4 linked regions of the Schizosaccharomyces pombe genome follow. The protein of the gene in region 2 interacts with the protein of the main gene of each other region in a pairwise test. Each region holds a gene or a part of one and is shown on either strand. Other genes may lie near its edges.

What was found.
Region 1: the proteins of dal81 (region 2) and ypp1 interact in a two-hybrid assay, tested with the Schizosaccharomyces pombe proteins (one large-scale study listed by BioGRID).
Region 3: the proteins of dal81 (region 2) and tif223 interact in a two-hybrid assay, tested with the Schizosaccharomyces pombe proteins (one large-scale study listed by BioGRID).
Region 4: the proteins of dal81 (region 2) and spo7 interact in a two-hybrid assay, tested with the Schizosaccharomyces pombe proteins (one large-scale study listed by BioGRID).

What each region holds. Positions count from the first base shown.
Region 1 is NC_003424.3:4,541,335-4,547,446, reverse strand, and holds ypp1 (cargo transport protein Ypp1), read right to left. Parts: upstream 3,612-6,112; 5' UTR 3,374-3,611; coding exon 3,365-3,373; intron 3,326-3,364; coding exon 3,214-3,325; intron 3,158-3,213; coding exon 690-3,157; 3' UTR 501-689; downstream 1-500. Other genes in the region: vma2 (V-type ATPase V1 subunit B), read left to right, coding at 1-367; SPOM_SPAC637.03 (uncharacterized protein), read right to left, coding at 4,084-4,893. UniProt on the Schizosaccharomyces pombe protein: Involved in endocytosis.
Region 2 is NC_003424.3:1,745,665-1,751,237, forward strand, and holds dal81 (transcription factor), read right to left. Parts: upstream 3,502-5,573; 5' UTR 3,381-3,501; coding exon 1,254-3,380; 3' UTR 804-1,253; downstream 1-803. Other genes in the region: pex6 (peroxin-6), read left to right, coding at 4,429-5,573.
Region 3 is NC_003424.3:5,365,525-5,370,245, forward strand, and holds tif223 (translation initiation factor eIF2B gamma subunit tif223), read left to right. Parts: upstream 1-1,880; 5' UTR 1,881-2,023; coding exon 2,024-2,172; exon of another isoform or gene 2,173-2,241; intron 2,242-2,296; coding exon 2,297-2,567; exon of another isoform or gene 2,568-2,690; intron 2,691-2,693; coding exon 2,694-3,135; exon of another isoform or gene 3,136-3,176; coding exon 3,177-3,319; intron 3,320-3,390; coding exon 3,391-3,762; 3' UTR 3,763-3,854; downstream 3,855-4,721. Other genes in the region: amidophosphoribosyltransferase Ade4, read right to left, coding at 1-437; SAGA complex subunit Spt20, read right to left, coding at 4,656-4,721. UniProt on the Schizosaccharomyces pombe protein: Acts as a component of the translation initiation factor 2B (eIF2B) complex, which catalyzes the exchange of GDP for GTP on the eukaryotic initiation factor 2 (eIF2) complex gamma subunit.
Region 4 is NC_003424.3:3,245,517-3,253,546, reverse strand, and holds spo7 (ArfGEF Spo7), read right to left. Parts: upstream 5,789-8,030; 5' UTR 4,950-5,788; coding exon 993-4,949; 3' UTR 666-992; downstream 1-665. Other genes in the region: pcd1 (coenzyme A diphosphatase), read right to left, coding at 1-34; histone H3.3 H4 heterotetramer chaperone Rtt106, read left to right, coding at 5,840-5,921, 5,967-6,590, 6,635-7,059. UniProt on the Schizosaccharomyces pombe protein: Appears to have a role in sporulation.

The sequences.
Region 1 (6,112 bases), 2.8 Mb from region 2:
TGCCATTGGTGAAGGAATGACTAGAAATGATCATGGTGATGTTTCTAACCAGCTGTATGCAATGTATGCCATCGGTCGTGATGCTGCTTCCATGAAATCAGTAGTTGGCGAGGAAGCCCTTTCTCAAGAAGATCGCCTTGCTCTTGAATTTTTGGGTAAATTTGAAAAGACTTTCATTAGTCAAGGTGCTTACGAGAATCGTACTATTTTTGAAACACTGGATTTGGCTTGGTCCCTCCTTCGCATCTTCCCTCGTGAGATGTTAACTCGTATTCCTAAGAAGATTTTGGATCAATATTATTCAAGATCCTCTGCCTATACTGAATCTTCCAAAGATGTTATAGACAACACTCCTGAAAGCTCTTAGTTTTTTGACGCTGCAAATACAGACCAAATAATCGCTAATTTTGAAATGTCCTTGAATCGTTATTTTCGGTGCAATTATCTAATGCTATTTGTTTGTTGGTGATTTGGAAAGAAGACTGTTATAGATACTGATTCAAGGTGCAATTGCTTCGTTATTAATTTAACACAATGTCATAAATAACATTTATCTATTTATGTCTATTATGTGAGTTCATATTGAAGTTACAATCACTACAAAGGAAACATATAAATTACTATTGAAAGTGCCTTAAAGTTTGTAAATTCAATTTATAAATAATAAAAGTCCAAAAAATGTAGACAGTTTAAACGTTCATAAACCTAGGCTGCAAGTTACTCCATCGGCGTACAGGGTTTGTATCAGCTAGCTGGATGCAATAATCATACGAAAACGCAGCTTGTTTTAAATCACCGAGTTGACGAAATATTTCTGCAGTATAATACCAAGCTTCTGGTAGATCCCAGCCATACTGCAAAGTACAGCTCGATAAAATAGCATCTGCTCTATTTCTACGAGAATGCATAGGCCCATAGCCACCTTGTAAAAGACACTTTGCAAGGGCCGTCGAAATTAAGGGATCCTCCGGGTCTAAATAATGAGCAACGTCAAGTTGCTCATACCCTTCAACTTCTTTTCCCTGTTGTAGTAAAGATAAACCATTTAAATAGTACACCCAAGCACATTCATGGTCTATTTTTTTAGCTTCTAGTAAAGCGCTTCGTGCTTGATCATCATTTCCACTTTTAAGGAAAAGAGATGCAGCGGTAAGCCAAAGCTTCTGATTGAGATATGATACGGTTTTACCACGACGTAACTGAAAATTTTCTTTATAGGAAGAGTGGGATTTTTTGCTTAAAACAGTAGATCTCTTAAGCGATGATTTCCTGGAAAACCCAAGAATACTTCCTTTTTCATTTTCCACATCTTTAGAGATTTTCTTGGATGATTTAATGGATTGAATAGTCGATCGTTCTAAAAGCGTTGATAATTCATCTGACGATCCTTCCTTTGATATCCTGTACTCATTCAAATCAAAAATACTAGCAAATAATGTAAATATTTCATCCTGGATATCCAGAGTAGCTTCTACGCCTTTTTCGGCTTCAAAAAGAGCTAGTTTCGTAATCAATAAATCGACCAAAGCGCAGCGGTCATTAAATGTCAAATTTGTCAAACTAATCTCAATAGTGCCATCTTCATTGACATGATTAATGCCCCAAGTTTCAAATACACTATCGATCAGCTTAATTCCTGCTGCGTATTGTTCAGAACAAGACACACACAAAACCAAAAGATGCCAAGATACAATACTGTACTTAGGGTTCACCTCAAGAAGTCGCCGAACAATTTGCATTGCATCAGTAATGGCACGTCTCTCCGAATATTGCATAGCCAAATGGAAAAGTGCATTTGTATTGGTTGGTTGCTTTTCTAGACATTTCTGGTAAGATTGGACGCTCTTCTGGTGATATCTTTCCCTTAACGAAGGGTTGTTAGCTTGATAATACATGAAAGAATAAGCAACTCCTTCTGTATGATAAATTAAAGGAGCAATATCGTCACGTTTCAGTAAATCATAATCAGAAGCAATTTTTGTAATATAATCAAGTATTTCAGAAACTTTTTTCAAATTACGAAGATATTGCGCATAAACGGTCATCATAACGGAGCATACTTCAATAATACTTTTCGGTTCATCAACAAACACTGGTTTGATATCAGAAAAAGAGCCAGCGACATCTGAATTTTTTCTTGCTAACCGTTCGTGAGATTTTACGCATAGAAACTTGTAAATTTCAAAAGCCTCGCTAGCTTCTTCAAATTCCTCAATATGCCTTAAAAAAAATACCAAAGAACGAAAAATTTGTTGTGCTTGGAAGCATTTTCCAGTAAGCTGATAAAGCATTCGAATCAAGCTGACAGTGATATCGTAAGATTTCTCTGTGTTTATCCATATTGATGTTGCAAGTTCAATAAATTCAACGGCGAACATGTTTTGATCACCAGCTTTAGGAAAAGAGGTAAAGTTACATAACAAAGACCCATAATCGAGGACAAGTTGAGGCCAATTTAAATAAAGATTTTTAACCGGACTTTTAGTAAAAATTTTTGATCCATTTGTATTAGTTCTTAAAATATGTTCCAAATATTTAATAGCTTGTCTGCTGGTAACTAGTTTATAAAGCAAATTCACGGACTTATGCTCGGTAAAATAGCTCAAGCATGTAGTAAGTATATTAGCTCTTTCTAATTGACTCGAACAAGCGCTTACAGACATTTGAGCATACAATGAATATGCAAGATCGCACCATCTTGTAAGTTCCGGTAAAGGCTTCTTGCCAATATTGGCATTTTGAATTAAGCCAATGGCCGAACGAACGTATTGATATGCAACTTCATCGTTAGCTTGAGCATATTGAGCTAGCGATGATAGCACTGTTGCTTGTAGGATGCATATACCAGTGGAAGTTTCAGTCCACGGAATTCCTTGAGGAGACCAATCTAAATCTACGGCTTCGGGAAATTTACGCTGTACAATGTATAATAACAAGCGTATGGATGTCTCCTGAAGCTTCTCATCTTCTGTGGCATTTTGAATGTTCAATGAGTTTAATTGACTTAGAAGAGGGTCGGTACGAGCACTGGGTAAAGCCGGAATTAGGGAATACTGATTATCTATTAATTTAGGCTCCAAAACGTTTGCAATATTTTTTAGTTCAGCAGTTAATGCTGATTTAAGAGAAGCTTCAATTTTTGCTAATTCACAAACGACTAAAAAAAGGTTAGTCTAGATGACAAGTGGAAAACTTTGACTGTAAATCACTCACAGGACTTTGAAGAGTTATGCTTATGCAATTTTCTAGCAACCTCAGGAATTGCCTGCCAATCTCCATTACATCTTGTTTGTTCTAGTTTTAGTTCATAGGTTTTTGCTTTAGCCTATATCAGTCAGTATGAAAACTCATAGTTTAGACGTACGGAAAACATGAATTTTTTTATAACTTGGTATTTGTATATATAAAGAGAAAAAAAAGGTCAAACGCAGTAGTTGGAACGTAAAATTCGTTTATAGAACTTTGAACGCAAACTTTAAATAAATTGATATATATTTACAGTAACAAGAAAAACGAAGGAATTGTAAAAAGAAAAGGTTTAAAGAAGGTATTTAACGCCTCAAGAATACCAAGATGAAGGAATTTTGATGGTTCGATATATGGAGTAGGCCAAGGTTGAATGGAGGTGCGTAACCGTCGGCATGAGAAAGTAATTGAGATATTGAGCTAAGTAAAGAAAAAGTAGTGTATACCAAGTTTTTTGCTTTAAGGGTTCTTTAATAAATACATGAAGCAAATAAGATTAAATAATTAGCGTACAAGTTAGCCAGAGTACGAATAGTTGAATATGATGACACTTTCGTGATCCATATAAGAATAAGCTGGATGTCTTCGTCAATGAAGTGCTTGTAAAGTTAGCACACGAAGCAACTTTATACTAAGAAGGGTGCTATTAACCATGATGAAGTTGATCGTCAAAACTATGCTTTAATCTGCTATCCACCTGAATTTTGAGTCGAAAGATTTATGGGAGAAAAATTAAATTTTTATACTAAAGTTAAGTGTAACATAATACAATTAAGCAAATTCATTATCATACTATTTAGTAGAACGGAGCAACAACATGCAGAAGACTACAAGAGTTTAAACTGCGGGTCCCGCGTTGTTGTCCTGAAGCAAAGGAGCACTCTCGCCTGTTAAAGCAGCGCGTCTCTGTCTGTAGGGAAGGAGGAAGAGAAGAGCAGCGAAAAGGGTCATGAGACCAGCAATGATAAAGGCGAAAATGTGTTGCAAGGCAAAGAGGTGAATAAACATTTGTCCAATACCGATTGAAAGGAAAAGGTATGCGCTGACGAGGGAAAGAGCCCAGTCATGGAATCCTAAAATAGGAACAAGATACATGGCGGCAAAGAACCAGATAAACACATTAGAAAAGACGCGGCAACCAATGCCGGTGCAGTGTAAAGCGGCAGAGAAGGCATAAACAACGAACCAAAGAGACTTGCCAAAAACAAGTTTCGAGGGCAACTTCATGCTAATCATCTCAACAAAACCATTTCTCAAGCGAAGCGATTGGCCGTACATGGTGAAAGAAGATGAGAATAGACACAAGGAAAAGAATGCAGTCCAGTACAGCTTCTCACGGGTAAATGCCCAGACGGTAAACACGACAAATACATTGTACCAGATAGATGTGTGAATAATGGAGAAGGTAAAATCGTTTACCTGATCACCAAGCATTAAAAGGGGCACAATCATCAAAAGGAAAGACAAGTATTCGACCAAGAGGTAGCCACCAAGCATGAACTTGTTGGCGAAAAATGGAGTGGCATGGTGATTGTAAACCCATTCAAGAGATGGTTTGGTAAACAAATGAGCCAAAAGGGTAGCAAAGCTTACACCCAAGGCTAAGACGAGCCCAATAATGTATTTTGACTCACGAGTAATTTGCATATTGAACAATTAAGTAGTAGGCGAAAGAATAAGAAGAAACTAGCGGTAATATTAATAGTACGAATTGGAAGAAGAAGAAAAAATTAAATTACAGGTCTTCTTTCCCGGAGATAGTAAAAGTAGCGAAGCGGCAATTTTCAACCACTTTTGGAATTTGGTTTGTTTGTGTTTTTTTAGATATTAACTAGGTTCCGGCAATACGCAAGGAATTGACGATAAACTAAGCAACAGCCTATGAAAGTCAAACTTTTTAAATTGAATAAAATCGTTGGTAAATACGACTTAAAAAAATTGAATTCTTCTGCAACAATTCCTCGTAACAAACAGTAGCAAAATCCTAAGCTTTTCTTTAAAAGCTAAACCAAGTGTTTGAAGTGGATTAAAAGTAAATTGTGTTAGAAAGCAACGTTATACGCAAACTTGCAAATATGTATGGGAGAGGGAAGGTCATAAAAGTGCGAGAGATTTAATATATATAGGCAGACTATTTAAATTTAGCAGACTGCAGAAACTGCCCAACCCATGCCTCCTTCCATCATCATATTCCTTCGTAATGCTTACGCAACGATGCCTTGGCATCAGCTGAAACCATGTATCATGGAGTAACATGTTACGTATATCGATGGGAATGTCAATAAGGCGTAAAATGAAAATTCCAAAGGCGCTGATTTCAAAGAAATTACCATTTGCTCGCGCTGAGAAATTATTTATGAGCTTTTTATAAAATCAACTGTTTTGGAAGATACAAATTTATGCGATGCCTTTTAACCCGGTTTTCAAAGCCGAATTGAAGCGACCACAAAGGCCATAAGAATGTTGCGAATTGAAAGTATTTAGGAATTGGTAGACATACATTGGAGAGTGTTCTAGTTTATCAATCGCATTTCTTTTTTGTAAAGCATTTATTATTGGAGTCCAACTAAACCGTTTGCTTAAAATAGCTTGGCTTGGTATGGCATAGCAAGGCAAATTAATGACAATCGCAATTCAGTTCGATACAGGGCATTGAAGATAGAAGCAAAAAAAACACAATTCTTGAAAGTTTTGGATGAGTATCCGTTCATCCAAATGATAGACTTTCTCGGGTTGTTGGATGAGGATCTCCTTTAGCCGTGGATTGTTCTGTATCTTTTCCGTATAAGAAAACCACAAGTGACACATTTAAAGGGTAAACTTAGAGTCTTCGATATATTTTTCTGACTGAAGAAATGCTAGAATT
Region 2 (5,573 bases):
TATATATAAGTGGGGGGCGTGGGGGACGGAAATGTTCGTCAGTTACGAATAAACAAAGCATATACTAAGAAACTGTTTAATCATTACTTCTCCAAATGGTATTGCAATTGATGAATTTAACAGTGGGTTTTCAAAATTTTGAGAACCTATGTTAACCTTTGCTTTGAGTTTATCAATGATTGCAATATGACCTAAATAAAGCAATGAATTAATAAAATTAGTACTTTAAGCACTTAAATTTATTTCTTTTATAACGAAAAACTGTCCTATAGTGACCAAACATTTAGTTCTCATATCCCGGATTATAACCGTTTGTATAACATATCTACGCATTCGACACAGCCAAAAGGCTTCTTCCTCTGAAAGAAAAATAAACAACATAAGTAAAATATATGCACAAAGCAATTGAACAGATGATCTTGGTACAAGTCAACTCTAATAATTTATACGGAATATTTGATAAGAAACTATAGAGTATGAAAAGATGAAAAAAACTGGTAAATAATTGTAATGAAGTAAAAATATGTAAGAATAAGCGTTTTCTGATGATCATTTTAAGAATATGGATTATTGTTATATACCTGTATTGCTTAGACTTCTAGTATCCACATCAAGAGTTTTCATATTTGTTCTTAAAAAATGGAATTCAAGCCTACTATTACTTTCATTCATCTTTTTAATAAACTTGTACGGATCTAATTATCATCATTATTTGAATCTACTCCGGCTAATTTAAGATACAAGATATTTAATTTTTCATATATTATATATATTCTATTAGACACCACTTCTCAACTAACTCCTGATGGTGTAGTTGGTTATCACACCCGGCTGTAATTTCGATGATACCGGTTGGTCGCTAGTTCGATTCTGGCTCAGGAGATCTTTTTTGCTTCCACCTGGTAAACTTTAAAATATAAATAAATATATGTTCAGATCTGATAAACCTTATTGTTGCAATCAATATCTCATTATAAAACGATAGGATGTTATCACTTCAATATTATCTTTCCATCCTTCGTGAATATTCCTAACTCACTTAAACTTTTCTATCAGATGTTTTTAATGAAGCCCTTTAATCAAATTAACAAGGATCCTAAACTACTTTATAAAATATAAGCAACTAGAGCTGACTAAAAAAATAATAATGTGTAGATATCCTTAATTAGGTAGGTATAGGCTCATAAGTATTCAATTAACAACTCTTAAAACCAAACAAAAAAAAAAGAATTAGAAAGGTCTAAACACTATCATTATGTCAGGGTTTCGTCCAAGTTACGCTTTCGATGTTCAAAGGTTTCTTGTAGAAGTTTGCCAATAAGTGGTCTACCTGAGCTTAATTCAATCAGCAACGCGTTTAATCGCTTATAAGCCATGAAAACCAAATCAAAATTTCGAAACTTCAGCCAGACACAATGCTTTGTGAAAGATGACAAAAGGCCAAAAGTCGTAGCATTAAAATTTTCATTAAACTCAAAGTCCAGATACATCTTAATGATTGCAGATGATAGGATACAAAAATAGAATTGGGAATACGGCCAGAAAAAATCAGTAAAATGGGATTCGTTAATGGCTAGAAAATGAGAAACACAACGTTGCACCACGTTCAACATTTCTTGCTGATATACTGCATCTGTCAGTTTAAGTTTCAATGCTGTTTTCCGTAATAACAACTCCAAGGCATCGATTTGTAAAAACAATGATAAAGATCCAGGTTGGTTCTCTCTTAAATTACAGCTACATGAAAATTCTTCCAGACTAATCAGATATTTTGATATCTTTTGAGCCACAGTACGCCGATTTTTCGACATTGTCATAACCGCTCGAGCGTTGAAAAGATGTTGTAATACATTTTGAAGCAAAATACTTAGTTCCGCCATTTTAACAAATACATTGAATGAGTCGGCAATCCTTTGCTCCCCAGCCAATAGCTGGTTGTCCGTTAATGGTGGTACTAAGTAGTCATCTTGACGAATGCTTGCATTGATCCCAATATACATCGAAAGCCATTTTTCGTTAACAAAAAGGGCCCACCACACTCGATTACGCAAGATTTTTTCTTCCTTTGGAATCTGCCATTCAGAGCAATCCAAATGGAACCCGAGAATTTGCGCTAAAGCAATCGCTCTAGTCAAAATGCTCCAGTTTCCAGCTACGTTAATCCATGGTCTTCCCGTTAAAAAAATAATCGCCGCTTGTAGCGTACTTAATCGAGAGAGAGAAAAGGAAAGATCCAAGAAATCCTCAGTAAGATCCCATAATTTTTTTGCATCCAAGCGAGGATAATTTCTTAACTCTTTATCCGCATCCCAATAAATAATTGAGGAAGCATACATCGCAGTTAAAAGGATAGGGGACAGTTTGTGTTTTGCCTTTTTGAAGGCGAGGAGAAATCTTTCGCCATGAATAACAGGGTATACGCGATGAATGTACCGGAAGTAAAGGCCAATCAATCGTTCGCCGACTTCTGGGGATACTGTGGCTTCAACCACTTGAAATATTTGCTGAAGTTTTTCATAACGAGCAATTTGTTTGTGCGGCTCATAAGCTGGATCAACCATGTACATAACTGGAGTTTTTGGGTTTGCAGAAACATAACGAATGTGCATATTACTAAATGTATAGGTTCCCTCTTTAGGTATAAAGTACTGCCTTATCAAATCGACGTCAGAATCAGATGTTGGGTTCAAAATATAAGCATATGACAAAGAATCGTCAAAACCAAGAAAATCCGTTTGGTCATCAACTGATGAACCTTGACTAATTAGAGAATCATTCTCATCCAACACAGTTGAGCTGTTTAGACTTGAGGGAGGTGGGGCAGCTTCGGAAACTCTCTCAACCTTGGTAGATGAGTATTTCTTTAAAAACTCCTCATATGAAAGGTCGGATAACTTTGCATGCTCCTGTCCAGGTTCGGATTTTGGAAAAGTGGTTTCTTTAACAATGGGTTGTGGTTGTGTGAAAGACTTTTTAAATCTAAAATTTTCCTCATTCTGAGTTATAGAGGGAAACTGCTGCATGGATTGTGCTGAGCTACCAGCCAATGCGGAAGGCATTGATTCATGTCGAATTGTCCAGTGACTACTTTCCTGACTATGTGAAGGAATTAAAGGATTGTTATTAGTACCAATAGGCAAAGTACCATCAGACTTTACATCTTGCGAGGCAACCGAAGGCTTTTTCGATTCAAGGCTAGAAGAACGAGAGTGCGGTGGCAAGTTAGGATAAGGACTTGAACAAAACAAAGAAACAGGATCCATAAAGCTTGAGGAAGAAAACTCATGGAAATGGATCAAGCAAGTTCCCAAGCTGCAGGGAATACATAGATTCGGTTGAGCCTGAGACTCTGGCTGCGAAGGAGATGAACTTTGGTCCATTTACGAATCAATACATAAAATCGTAGTTACACGACCCAAGTAAAAGGATGACAGTATCACCTCATTAGGGAGCACACCAAAACGGGATGTGTTACAAGAACAAGGCGATTTTGAAGTGAGATGGGCGGTAGCGAAGCATGGATGGTGTTTATCGTCTAGCTTTAACTTTAAGTACATTAAGGTTAGCGAGATTAACCGTCCATATGTTTATGAATGGTCTTATTATTAAAGCACCATCGCTTTTTTTAAGACTATTTACGTTGGGTTCAAAATCTTTATTGTAAAAATATTGATGGGCATTAAATAATTTGCAATTATGATTGAATAAGAACATAAATATACAATGAAACAGAGTACAACGAATGAATTTGCTGATATAAATTAGACTTTTATGATCGGATGCAGAATAGCTTGTATTCAATTGATTTTTTATTTGAAGCAAATAGAAGGAAAAGTTCTCGCAATTTATTTCAAAAAAAAAATAGTATTATTTGACCAAAATGGGTCCTTGCGTTTACGAACTCTGATGTAGTCACCAACTATCAAAATTACCATTTAACAATTCTTTTTGCTTTTAAGAGTGTTGGCTTGACGAATGGATTAATTTCAATTTACTCATAATATTTTGCTTTTAGGCGTTAGAGAATTATTTTAACTCAGTAAATGACACTTAGTATATCTCACGGAATACTTTCTTTTGCTTATATCTTTCAGGATTTTGTTTTTTTTAGTTTTACTTGAATAAATGTTAAATTTTTGATACGAAACTTCAATGTTAAGTTTAACTTTCAATAACGATCATTTTGCACAACTTCATCTTCTGTACTCAGACATCAAGGTTGTCAGATTCCTGCAACCAACAAAATATAATTTCGTTGTAAATATTTGTGCATCTAATTGATACAAATATAAATACTCTTTTTTCATAAATAGTTATATGTTTGTGCATATTTTTTGGGATCGATTTTAAAAATCGTCGCATTTCCTGCCTTCAACTGTATCAACGTTTTATTTTAAATATTCATACTGCAGGACGGAAAACTACTTTATGGAAAATCGCATTTGCACACTTGCAAAGCCGTTGCCAAAGTTAGATGAAAGCAAGCAAGCATGGGTTTCATATTTATGGCTCAAGAAAGCGTTGCCAGGTTTCGAGGAACACTCTGCTTATGTTTACATGACCACTAATCCTACAATCGCTGGTCGCATATTTTTACCAATTAATAATGAAGATCTGGAGGATGGTACTGTTGAAATTTCTGGTTATGATAACTTACTGGCTGATGCCTTGTACATATCGACAATTGCACCTGTCAAACTGGATTTTGTGCAGTTGATTGTTATAGATGACAATTCACAAGATCAGGATGCAATAATTGAAAGGATTAAAGGGAGAAATGCTATTTTAATGGAAAGCGATTTTATTAACCAAAATATTTTGGTACAAGTTTGTCAACCTGTTCGACATGGAGTTGTGGATTCAGAAACGAAATTTGTTATTGAAAGAAAAGATAGTTTTACTTTTTTAGCATCCAATGAAAAAAATATTTCATCATTTAAACGAGGAAAAACCGAAACAGATGCTGAGTTGGTCATTCGTCCATCAAAAGTACATACTGAAATACAATGGTGCTTACAAAACTGCTCTTTAATTCATGTTCCTTTTGAATTATTATTCAATGTTGGTAAAAAAAATGGTTGCCCAATAAGCCTTCGCTTGTCAGATGGAAAAAATGTCTATGGAATTGCTTCGATAAAATCTGATACTGAACATGATAGTGTACAGCTTTCGCCTTCTCTTCATTATTTTGATGAATTCAACGAATCTGTTATATCCGAGGAAGGTACAGAGGCATTTCTTGTCGCTCGTGGGCCATCTGTCGGGATCGCTTCAAGAATCTCACTTCGTACTATTCCAACTCAATCCTGCTTTTCTGAAAAGCTTCTAAAAGCCGCTAACCTTTGTGTTGTACAACAAGTTAAACAAAAAGTTTTCTTACAAAGCAAACAAATATTTTGTGTACCTATAAATTCGTTAATGGCTAATTCAGATTCAGTTGATATATTAGAGCTTACAAGGAATACCGACGCTTATATATGGTACTCTGTTGAAGAAATAGATCCTTTAAATACTTATAACATTTACTATACCAATGAGGATACCTCAATCGTGCTTGACACTCAACTTTCCCA
Region 3 (4,721 bases), 3.6 Mb from region 2:
AACCGTTGAAGCTCGTAAGCAAAGATGTTAAGCAAAAGCTCAGAATCAGATCCAGTGTTTACATGACGATGGGCCTCAGTGTCCAAAAAGCGTCGTAATTCGGGTCCATTAATTAAATTACCATTATGGCCCAACACAAGACCATAAGGAGAGTTAACATAAAAGGGTTGTGCTTCAGAGTGAGCACAACTTCCAGCAGTAGGATAGCGCAAATGACCAATACCCATACTACCTACGAGTTGGCGAAGTTGATGCTGACTAAAAACATCGGCAACCATGCCGGATCCCTTGCATTGGTAAAGACGACCTTTGTTTCCAGCGGTTACAATACCGGCGGCATCTTGACCCCGATGCTGCAAACTGTAAAGACCCTCATAAATTTCAGGACATGCCTGTTGATGAGGGTCAGCAAGCATTAACGCCAAAATTCCGCACATTTTCTAAAACTTGTTAGAGCTTCGGTTGTGAATTGAATACAAAAGATAATAAAATGATAGGTTTAAATGTACAAAAGAAAAAACAGCACCCAGTCAAATTGCTATAACTTGATTAAAATAATATGAGTCGGACTGTTCTATTCGGACAGCAATCAAAGTTTGAGAATACTTGGAATATAATTTCAATTTTTTTGTACCGACCGTAAAATGAGTTGTATGTTACCATCACAGAAAATAAAAAATTTTAATCAATTAAGCAGACCTCAGAAAACCTTGTAGCTACATAAGATGAAATTCAGAAGTCTAGCATCTAAATAAACGGTAATCATCATAGGCAAGTACTGCGGCGTTGGAAAATCAATATCTATATTAACTTACTTTTTAAAACGCGTACGAAACAAAAAAAAAAAGATTTTCAGGTACGCGCTGAACAAACACCGTAGTTGGGTATATTGTTAAGGCAAAATTTTGCTGCCGTATAAATTAATTTATTGTCCGCCTTAAATGATAGTGAAGTATGAGTCGAAACTATGACTGCTCAAGATTGTGATGAACGATTCGCTAAATAGAAGCTTAAAGAGAGGTGGGATATGCGCACGTTAATATAGGTAACAGGTATAGCTTGCTACTTAGCTGACAGGGTAGATGATATTAAATTGTTTGCTATTTTTGTTGCCAAAAAAAATTTTTTAAGCTTAAAAATATATCTTTAAATAAAACCTTCTTATATCAAAAAAAATTCGATGAAGTTAAGAGTGGTGCAGTGTTACAGTAATGCCGCATACACATCAACTTATTATTGAGCTTTACCGGAGGTATCCCATTACTATTTATTTGTTATAAAATCTTTCAATGTTCTGGTTTTTCTTCCTTCTTTACTCGGTAGTTAACAACAATACATTAATCACCGAGATGAGAGCTATGGGTAATCTAATCCAAAACTTTTAGTTCAACTTGTTACGATTGCAGTAGTCCAATGGTTTTTAAACTTAAAAAACTAATGAAAACAATACACAATGTACTGTATCTCTAATCTTCTGATTCCTCAAAATAATAGTTTACTAACCGGCTTCAAATATTTGTTCCTTAATTGGTGTACAGAGGATCATTTTCTGAGCGCTTGATTGATATTTTTTACTATCGGATTGATTATAAACCAGGATCGCGAAAACGTACCGATTTATAAATCGTTGATTATTAAAACATCTTTTTTAATATTGCACATTAAACAAAATTACAAGTGCAAAGCAATAATTAGTTTTCAAGCAGCTCCACATTTTGAGTTGGTAAATCATTTTAAAAAAAAATCATCAATAGTTCATATTTCATGAATACATTTTTCTAAACACAAATATAAATTCAGCACATTTTTATTTCAGATAGTGATGTGTAACGTGTAAACTTTTGGCTCGTTAGTAGGGATCTAGGAAAGTAAGGTTTTCCATCTTCATCAAATATTGGCGTACTGCAAAAAAACCCAATAATTCGTCTTCTATCAGGTTATAAAAGATTTTGGCTTCAAAGCATCCTTTTAGGTAAAAACCTTTTGTAAAAGCATCCAACGCCTTGAAGAACAACATCTCACAATGTCGTTGTATGAGCATGCTGCACTTCCTTTAGCCAGTAGCCCTTCAATCCTTGGACCTATTTCTGGTGGACGAAATCGGGGGAATATTCAATTACAGTCTATTCCGATTGAATTTCAAGCTGTTGTTTTTGCAGGATTTGGCAATAGGTAAAACAAACAAGTGTAGTACTGACTACTTAACGATTTGGATAATGATGACTTCGCACATATTATCTTCATCAACACTTAAAAAAGATAAAATAACAATAAGAAAATACTAACCATGTTTTAGTTTATATCCTTTGACTGGAAGCGATGCACTTCCCAAGGCTTTATTACCTATCGGCAATAAACCGATGCTTCACTACCCATTATATTGGCTTGAAGCTGCTGGATTTACTTCTGCTATTCTTATTTGCATGGAAGAAGCGGAAGCCCATATCAATGCTTGGTTACGATCTGGCTACGAGGGACATATGCGTATTCACGTGGAAGCACCGACTATTTTAGATGATTCTAAAAGCTCTGCCGATGCTCTTCGTGCTGTATCCCATCTTATAAAGGTATGATTTATTTTTATGTATAAGTAGATATGCATGTGTTCTTAGACTTTTTGATCTTTTCTCTCTCATTCTGCAATTTAATTACTCGTCTTAAAGTCACAAAAAATGCTAACCGATACCCACCAGAATGACTTTGTGTGTCTCAGTTGTGATAGTATAGTTGGTCTCCCTCCCATATACGGTTTGGATAAGTTTCGCCTTGATAACCCTTCAGCACTGGCTGTATATAGTCCAGTGTTAAAATATGAGCATATTACAAGTCAATCTAAAGAGATTGATGCAAAACAACTGATTGGAATTGAAGAGAAGACGAGCAGACTATTGTATGCCAAAAGTTCCGCAGACGTGGGCAGTGATTTTACATTTAGAATGTCTTTGTTGTGGAAACACCCAAGGGTTACGTTAAATACAAACCTTTCGGATGCCCATATATTTGTATTTAAACACTGGGTTATTGATTTGATCCGGGAGAAAGAATCTATTTCTAGCATTCGTGGAGATCTCATCCCGTATCTTGTTAAATGTCAATATCAGAAATCCTTTACTGTACGAGAGAACATTCAAAGATGTAAGTGCTTTTTTTAATTAACTATTTTCTAACAATTAAAGTTTTGTCATCTCCTAACAATATTGATAATTATGATGGGGGATTATCCTCACAGGAAATTAAAATTAATGCTTTAATTGCCAAAGATGGGATTATTTGTTCTAGGGCTAATAATTTACCTAACTATTTCGAACTTAATAAATGCGTATGTTTTCGAAAGCTGAGCTTCATCTCGCTTTTTAGCAGTTTCATCCAATATCTCTAACAGCAAACTAGATCGCCAAACTTACTCCAGAACAACGCCTTGTAGATGTCACCGTGTCCGAAAGAGCACTGGTCGGTGCCGATTGTATGGTGAATGAAGGTACCACCATTAAGGATAACAGCAACATTAAAAAGAGCATTATCGGTAAAAATTGTGTAATTGGAAAAGGGGTAGTGGTCAGCAACTCTATTTTGATGGACAACATTGTTGTTGAAGACGGAGTACGTTTAGAATCTTGCATAGTCGCCTCAGGTGCTCAAATAGGCGCTAAGTCAAAACTTCGTGAATGCGAAATTGGCGTTGATCATCGCGTTGAAGCTGGCCGTATCGCTCGGGGTGAGCGGCTGGTTGATATGGAAAAAATTGAGACGGACATGGACTAATACTGTGTATCAAACCGTTGTCAGCCAACCTTTTTTTTGAAATAGATATAATAAAAATTTCGTGCACTTACTCTACAAAGTGTGTCTAAACTAATCAAGGTAAAGGTGATATTAGTCAGGAATTTTTAGATTAAAAATATATACTCATAGATCAATATTAGCTAAAAGCGAAGGGGAATAAATTACAGATGAAAACGCATGTACATATATATGCAAAAAAGTTATACATATATACAAGGTTATACACATATACATCTAAAAAAGTTCATATCGCTATGGGTTAGTAATAACTCGAAAATATTTAAAACAAATAAAATAACCAAAAACTTTAGCACTCAGCGATCTTGGTGATAATAAAAGAATCATTTATTGATCATAAGCAAATATTTCATCAATTGCAAAGCAGAACGGTTATTTGTTTTGAAAATTAAATTGCCTTACCTAACGTTCATAAAAAACAGGACGTTCTTTAACTCCATTATTATAATATTTAAAACTTAAAACAGTTAGCAAGGTATTCGTATTAACAAAAGCAGTTGATGTAATGGAAATCAATCAGAAGATTATTTGTCGCATACTGATGGAGCCCATATGGGAATCAGGCAAGATCCCGAGCAATACCATCGCTCAATCGCAAATTATAGTCATCATACAAAAATATCCAAATAACATATTAATTTTACTTACCTAAAACTGGGTGTTATTAGAAACAGCTACATTACATATCTCACACTGGTAAGTGAAAACGCCAAGTTGTTCCATGAGCAAAAAAGTTTTTATAGAGGAAAATGAAGTGAAGTAAAAAAACGTATTTATGCAACAAAAAAAATAAAATTTTAAAAATAATAAATAAAAAACTAAATTCGTGTATTAAATGATGAAGCATTTGAGAGTTACCTTTCAGCCTTCATTTGCTGCTGTTGTTGCTGCTGTCTCATTTGGAGTTGTTGAAAATGAAG
Region 4 (8,030 bases), 1.5 Mb from region 2:
GTTGATGACCTTTCCAGCGGAGCTTTAGCTTCATAATTTGGGATTTCTTGTCCAACTCTGCGAATTCCGCTTTTCACCAGGCGTTGGAATGTAGAACTTCTAGCAATCTAAAATTGATTAGTACGTATATCTATTAAGATGAAGTCGTTTTATACCCTTGATGCGACGTAGGTGGAAAGTAACTCTACTATAATTCGTTGAATCATACAAAGTCAATAATAATTTAAAGGTAGAAGAATAATTATGAGTACGTTTTATCAATAGTGATTCTTTAAATATCGGGCAATTGTTAAACGCCTGCACAAAAGACGCGATATGTGCTCAGGTTATGTTAACCGTTAGCGCCCTCCATTGCGACGTGACTTTGCAAAGAAGGATTATGTAGAGTTTTATCTAAGCGAGAAAAAATTAATCAGAAATTAATGCTTAAAACAGTATTATAAATCAACGAAGGTGAAATATAAAAGTACTGCAATTTCTTTCTGTTTCTATAATTGCTTTATTCCTTATTAATTGCATACACCTCTACTCATATTGTTTTATTTCAAAATAGGTGAAACTTGGACTTTAGCATTCTGGTAGCTATAGCATGTATCCAAGTTCTCGCAAGCTGTTTGATTAAGTATCTAAGTAAAGTTACTATTGTAAGTTTAAAGCTAAAATGAGCGGTAACCAACGTAGTTATTCAGTTTCAACGAGCGCGTATTAAGGCATTTGAAATAATCCCATCGAAGCATATATTGCAATAATGAAATATTCTATAACTGGATGTTATCAGAAGTTTAAGCATAAAAAAATAATAAAATGACAAAAGATTTGTCAAATCTAAATAAAATCAAAATACTTTATTTGGAACTCTCGACAACTATTAACCCTCTTCTTCAGAAGCTAAAAAAAAGATATCTAAGTAGCATTCTCTCAATCGGAGGCCTAATGTCTTTTCATCACTCAAGTTTATTTATTCGTTTAACTACTTTGAATGAAATTTAATTTTATAATCCTTTAAAATCATAAGGATATCTTACAGGAGATAAAGTTGGGTAGAAATCATGGGATTTCCGATATTCGTACTCGCATTCCAAAACTCGCTGGTACTCTTTGTACATCATTGATCGTTCATATAGAAACTTCATCTTTCTATTCCAATTATCCATTGCTTTGAGGTAATTTTTAGATCCGGCGGCAAAACATTTCTCCATTTTTTCAGGCAAAGACTGGAAAAGAAGGCAGGTTTCCAGTAAAGAAGGAACACAATCTCGTAAAATATGAACCTTATCACGCAGTGGACGAGGAATGTCTTGTAATCCTTGAATGTCCATTGGACTCCACCGTGTTAATTGAGCCAGGTCACCGACAAAGGTCTTGGTTCCATCAGCAGCAGTATAATAAGCCTTTTTCTCAGCTCTTGTTAAAATGTACCCCCAACCATATTCAGTGTTTGTAATATTTTCTGGTAGAGGAGGGCAAGTAATCATGGCTGCATTAAAATTTAAAGAATGAATCCATTCGTTCATCGCTAATACGCTGGGCGCTTCAAAAAGATAGCACTCATTTCCTGGAATATTTAGATAAAAGACATTATTGCGATTAGAATTAATTGATGGAGGTAAATTGGGAGATGCCAAGCAAGATTGCAAGCCAAATTCTCTATGGATGGGGCTAACATTTGAGCAAGCATTTGGATCTAAATGATCTGACTTATAAAAGATTAGTTTTCCACTATCGACAATACAGTACTTTTTCTTCCAATAACCTGCTACCCATCTATTGTTTTTGCTTAAAACCATTTTCTTATATGAAATCATGCCTCGTCGGTGCCATGGTAACCTGTTATGAGTCTTTTCTTCTTGCATATGATGAGTGTAATTAAACACCGAAAAATGTGGTCTACCATCTATAACTGATGGTTCAGGAAGATCAATCTCCTTTCCTGCGTAAATTCCTCCATTCTCTTCATTCAAAACAAACGAAGATTCCTTAAAAGCATCACTTTCAAGACTCGTGCTGTTTTTGTTTCCAGAACTCTCCTGCTTTAGTAATTTTGAACTTTTCATTAATTCAGATATCAGAGATGATCGATTCCTTTTGGGAGTCAAATCACCTCTTACTTGGTTGTGCAACTGTGCTTGCACGGCATTTGGTACTGCAAATGGAGACTTCAGAAACGTATCATAATATTCTTTTAGCATGCATTCAAGTATGAAACCGATATCGCTTGGTAAATTGCTCCACGTTGAGAAAAGCAATTTGGCAAACGTTGATCGGTTCTTCTTATATTTGAGCCAATGCTTTTTGTCCTCCTTCGACAAAATACAAACTGAATCTGGAGATATGAGAGGACGAAGTTTCTCGAGAGCATATTTCACAAAAGTTTCCATCGGAACGACATAAGAATTGAGCTTTTTAGAATAGGTTGATTTATGTAAATCAATTAAAATCAATACTATTTTAACAATAATGTCTTCATTTAAAAACCCATAATTACTATTTTGCTTAAGCCAACAAGATGCGAAGACTTGCAAAATAGGAGAGTGTATGTAATCATCCGAGCCATAGTAAAGATCACAGCATAATTTTTGAAAGGAAGCGTAAACATTTAAACTTGAAAAGTCATAGTGTGATATGAATTTTACATACACATTTTCATATTCAGATCCCAAACTAGCAAACCAATCTGTAAAATTGTACGACAATAGCTGCTTCTCTAGCAAATTCCGTAAGCAATTGGATAAATTAATGGGGTCCTTAAACTCTGAATTGTGACATACCTCGAACAATTTCAGTTGAGAACGGTCGTGTAAATTCAAAATAGTTAAAAGTGATCGTGGAACTTTAATTCTTGGATTGTTTTTAAATTCCAAAGAATTGGGAGTTGCTATTTCTTCGGAATTGAGATCACTCTTGCTATCACTTATAAGCAAAAACTCTTCTTTAAACTTTGAAGCGCTCAGACCTTCGTTAGCAAACGTTTCATCTTCATAATCTTGTAGGAACGTTTCCTGAATATCCATAGTTTTGACATCTGGATTCACAAAAACTTTTTCGCCAACCTGCTGACTATTTATGCGTGAATTGCGTAAATTGCGCATCTTGCGAATTTCTTCAGCTGCGTTTTCATGGTGAACTGACTGAGACTTAATCTGACTTTGCAATTGTTGAATATAGCTACGTTCATCATGACTAAGATGCTCTCGGTCATCCAATAGTAATTTTGAAATTGAAACTAGACCTTCGGGGGTTTTGGGTGAAGAAAACCGATTTTCACGCAACATTATTTCGTTTGTAATACCAACCTCCGAAAGCACTGAATAATACGCAACCAACGATTGTTTTAAGCAAGAAATCTGCTTTAGTGGTATTCTTTGGAATCTTGAATAAACTAACGCAAATTGGTGTTCCGCGATGTCTAAAGGGTATTTCCTGAGCAAAAGTTTTGCTAATTTGCAAAAATATAGGCGGTCAGAAAGATTTTCAAGTAAATACATTTTGGGATCAGCATTAGCAAGCTCATTTTTAGTGTTAAGTTTCGATACCTGTATACGACTATTGATTTTGTGTTCAGTAGCGTTCAAAGTTCTTGGATGAGGGTTCAACTCTAAATTTTTTTCCATTTTTATGCTCGGGTGTACATTACCATTTCCAGCTAGACACGCTCTCTCAATTTTTGAAATAACTTTCTCTGATGGATTAACTACCTTAGATATGCTGGAATGGGATGTCGGTTCAACATTGTTTATCGATTGTGGCATGTAAATATTTCCTAGTTGTTTGGCTAGTTGTTTAACATGACCCTTGGGAGGAGCCTCAGATGTCGGTGCCTTTGTTGTAGGAGCCTTTGTTGTAGGAGACTCTGCTGCAGCCAATGCTTGTGGTTGTACTGAATTAGAATCTTGGTTCATTAGTAGCGCAGTCTTTTCCCTTATCACTTGCAAAAACTTCTGAGAAGTTGTCAGAACTGAATCACCGACTGACACTTTTGGTGGTACTTCCATTGAACCATTTTTAGCAGCAAATAGGTTTATAGCTTCCTTTATTCTGTTACATTTTCTGGTGGAAGCCCGATAATTAGGACCTAAATTAAAGGGATTCTCTTCTAAAGCATTTGTAGTATGCCCTTTAGATAAATTTGAAACATAGTCCCTTTTTCTATTTCTCTCCCTAGCTAGCTCGATCCTTGCTCTAACATTTTCCCCGGAATACTTCCCCTGAATCCTCCTCTTAGCAGATAAACTAATTTTTTTTGAAGGAAATATTTCCTGAGGAAAATTGGTAACGACTATCGGAGGCGGCGTTCTTTGGCGCTTTTTAGAAGATGGAAGTTCTTCTTCATAATCTTTCAAATCACGTTTTAATGAGTAAGAACCAGAGGAAGCTCGTACGCCGTTGCCGAACATGGATTGAGAAGGATGAGAGTTTACGGGTTCACTAAATATTCGTTTAGGCTGAAGGCTTAAATCAGAAAGTTCACCATTTGTTCGAGGACGCCGGGTTTTAATAAACGATTCTTTGTTGCTTAACTTGCTTTTAACGTTAAACATATGATTGTTTTCAGCCAAGATTTTCTCAGACTCCACAGAATTGGCATTGGAATTGAGAAAAGAGCGACGATGACTTATAAATTCCTGAATCTGCTTCAAGCGTGTCCTTCTCTGAGAAGATTTGTCTTCTCCAGAAATATTTTCCGTTTTGCTTTTAGCGCCTTCCGTATGCAAATTTTCTTGACAAATTATTCCCTTTGATTCCTCAAGTTTGCAAAAATCGGTTGTAACTTTAGACCGCTTCAACTTCGAAAGCAACGCTGAATGCTTTTGGCCGGAAGTATAGGTAGGCTTTGATTCTCTCACAGGACGACAAGTGATGCGACTATCATTGCACGATTCCAACTTTGCAATTTTTTCCGAAACACTTAAGCTTGTTGGGGAAGATCCTTCTGTTATTCTAAAATCCATTCTACCTTTTTCGTGGATAATTATACAATTGATTAAAAGAAATTAATAGTTATGTCGGAAGAACGCTTAAAAAATACAATATGAATATAGGAATTCTTTCAATCGGTTGATCGCGAAAGCAATTAGGATAATTATGTAAGTTTTGTAAGGACAATTATCAAAATTGTTTCCTTAAATATTTATACAAACCGTCAGTTTTGAGGGAGGTTGAGGGTAAAGGAAAAATAGGCAAAACAAATAGCTTATGTCTTAAAACACCTCATTGCATTAGACCTAGCGAACAAACTATTTGTTTACGTTTGTAAATGTCAACACACGTTGATTACATCGGGAACAACATAAACCAATAAAACGAATTTTAGGATCATTTAATAATTTCTTTGACAAAATCGAAACAATAACAACTTTAAGGGAAACCATATCCGATTATAGGAGCAACAATCTGACCTTCCCAATGCTGAAGAAAGCTAATCAGTTCTACAGCTGAAATTTATCTATAGATCGCAAAAAGAATCAAAGGGAAAATCGATATCGTTTCACAAAATGTTCCCAACTTTTTTGGACTTTTCATACGAAAGTAACTGATACGATAATAGAATGAGTTTTTATCTCATTTATGTAAAATGACTACCTTTGTTGAGTAAAATTGAGCAATTATAAATTAAGCATATTCATATTGATCCATAAAATAAAAATTTGTTGCTAACATAAAGTCAACAGCGAACCGAAGTTTGAACGTAACCACTTGGGATAAAATTTTTATTGGATCGAAATCATTTGCATGATAATGGAAATAGTTGCTATTACATTTGTTACTGTTAGCTGAGGTGTGGTGTGCTGTCGAAGCCCTTGTTTAAGACTCAATAAATTCTAGCCGGCAGCCATCTCTAATGGAGTCCAACGTGAACGATGAAATAGAAAAGGCATTTGCCAAAGATTCTGAGTTAGCAAAAGATATAATCAAACAATATGGTAAGGTTTGAGTACATGCTTTTTTCCTTAGTCTAATGAAATTAGGGAAAACAAAAAGTATACAGCCTCTAGTGCATCGAATTTGCAAGTACATCAATACATTGCAAAAGGAAAACGAATCAGGCCAAGTGAAGGAGGCTGGAAGTTTAAAACGAAAGGATCGTGTTCAACATGAGTTAGGTCAATTGGTCTATGGAGTACTTAATCTATCGTTTCAGGCACCTATGCGAAAAAAGCTAGACGTCTACATTTATGAAAATGGAATAGCAGTAACATTACCAGGCGAACCCAATTTAATTGAATTTTGGCTTCCCTGGAATGAAATTCGTTGTGCAATCCATGTCCCATGTCCAAGGAAAGCTAATGTTCAAAACAACTTTGTGATCATCCTTAAAAGTGAATCGTCGGCAGAAAATATTGTTTCAAGTGATAATGTAAAAGAACCTGTCTTTTTTACGGCACCGTATCCTTTGAAAAAGCTCAACCTCGTTGAAGGTTTACGATCCTTCACCCACTGCACGAACTCATGGGATATTTTTCGCGATTACTTTGAGTTTATTGGCACTAGTACTTTGTCTCCTTCTGTCGAAGAATTTGTTTGTCCAAACCCGCAAACGGGGGACAATGGCACGACATATGGGGTTGAAGCAAACTATAAAGCTAAAGATGGTATGCAAAGGATGAATTCTGTGTCAAAATTGCTAATCAAATAGGGCATTTATTTTTTCTGCGTACTGGCATACTATGGGGCTTCCGTAAACCTATACTTTTCATTGAACTAGCTAGCATCCAGCATTTTTCCTATAGTAATGTTTTGCAACGAACATTTACAGTTAATTTTGAAGCTGGTGGTACAATATATTCATTCGATATGGTTGATCAAAGTGTCTTTAGAGCAGTAAATGATTACGCGACAAAGCATGGACTAATGGACTCCAGTCTTGCTGAAGAAAAAGCTGCACCAGTCCCTAAAAATCCATCTGTTTCATATTTGAATGAGGCATCATCTCTTGAAAATGTTGATGATATGGATGATATTGATGTTAAAGAACCTTTATTCTCTGATAACGACGAGGATGTCGAAAACAGCGACAGCGAGGACGGTAGCGAATCTATCGGTTCAGAGGACGAAGAATAGAAAGTTGAATGTACATAAATTTTTTTCTGTTTTATTTATTACCAGTTTGTTTTAATTTAAGGATTTAAATAAATTTAAAGTCTTCTAGCAAAAGGTTATCTGTGAGCTATCCAAATTTGTTTTAGACTCAAGTTATACACAAAGTTGTCGCAGGATACATTTTTTGTTGATAGTTTAAAAAGTGTGGATCTGGACTTTGTGTGCTAATCAATAGATTTACGCTCCCACTTGTTTGAGTTTTCTCAAAAATTACCCGACCAACATGTAAATATTTTCTATAATACTAATTTATGAAAATTCCTAATTACCTTATTCGATCTGCCGCTCTTAAAAAAGGTATATAATGTAAATAGCGGTTATTTAAAGTTCCTGATGTTCATTTTAACAGAAGGGTAGCTGAGTTTAAGCAAGAATTACCTGAACTGCCCATAATTTAATTCACAATTAGCATAAATCTTTAAAAACTCTTTCACGAGATTTTTTAATTATTTTTTTCAAAAAAAAAGACGACTATAAGTAACTAATTGTTTAATTTTTTACATTAGTTTTTTTCTTTGTCAATAAATTACTAAAATCTTTTTCTGAATGTAAGAAATTAAATAATTTAACAATATATCAACTCATCGACTGTTATTGAAGGATCTTCTTCTTAAAAAGAAAGAAAATTAATTTAAGACAATAGAAATGTTTTTGATTGATATTAATGATTAGCTCTTCTAAAATGCTGTTGCAATTTATCTAATCATTATTTATTTACATTTTAGTTAAAAAGCTATGTTCATAACGTACGGTAAAAAAAATAGGTGACACTTACGCAGTTCAGTGTCTTTTTTAACGATACGTAAAACCCGGTGATAATTCTTGTGACCTATTATATTATAATAAGTAGGTTAATAAGCGCTGACCAATGTAGGTATTATATATATGGGTCAAACTGTTACCTGTCACTAAATAGTGCTTATTACTGTACC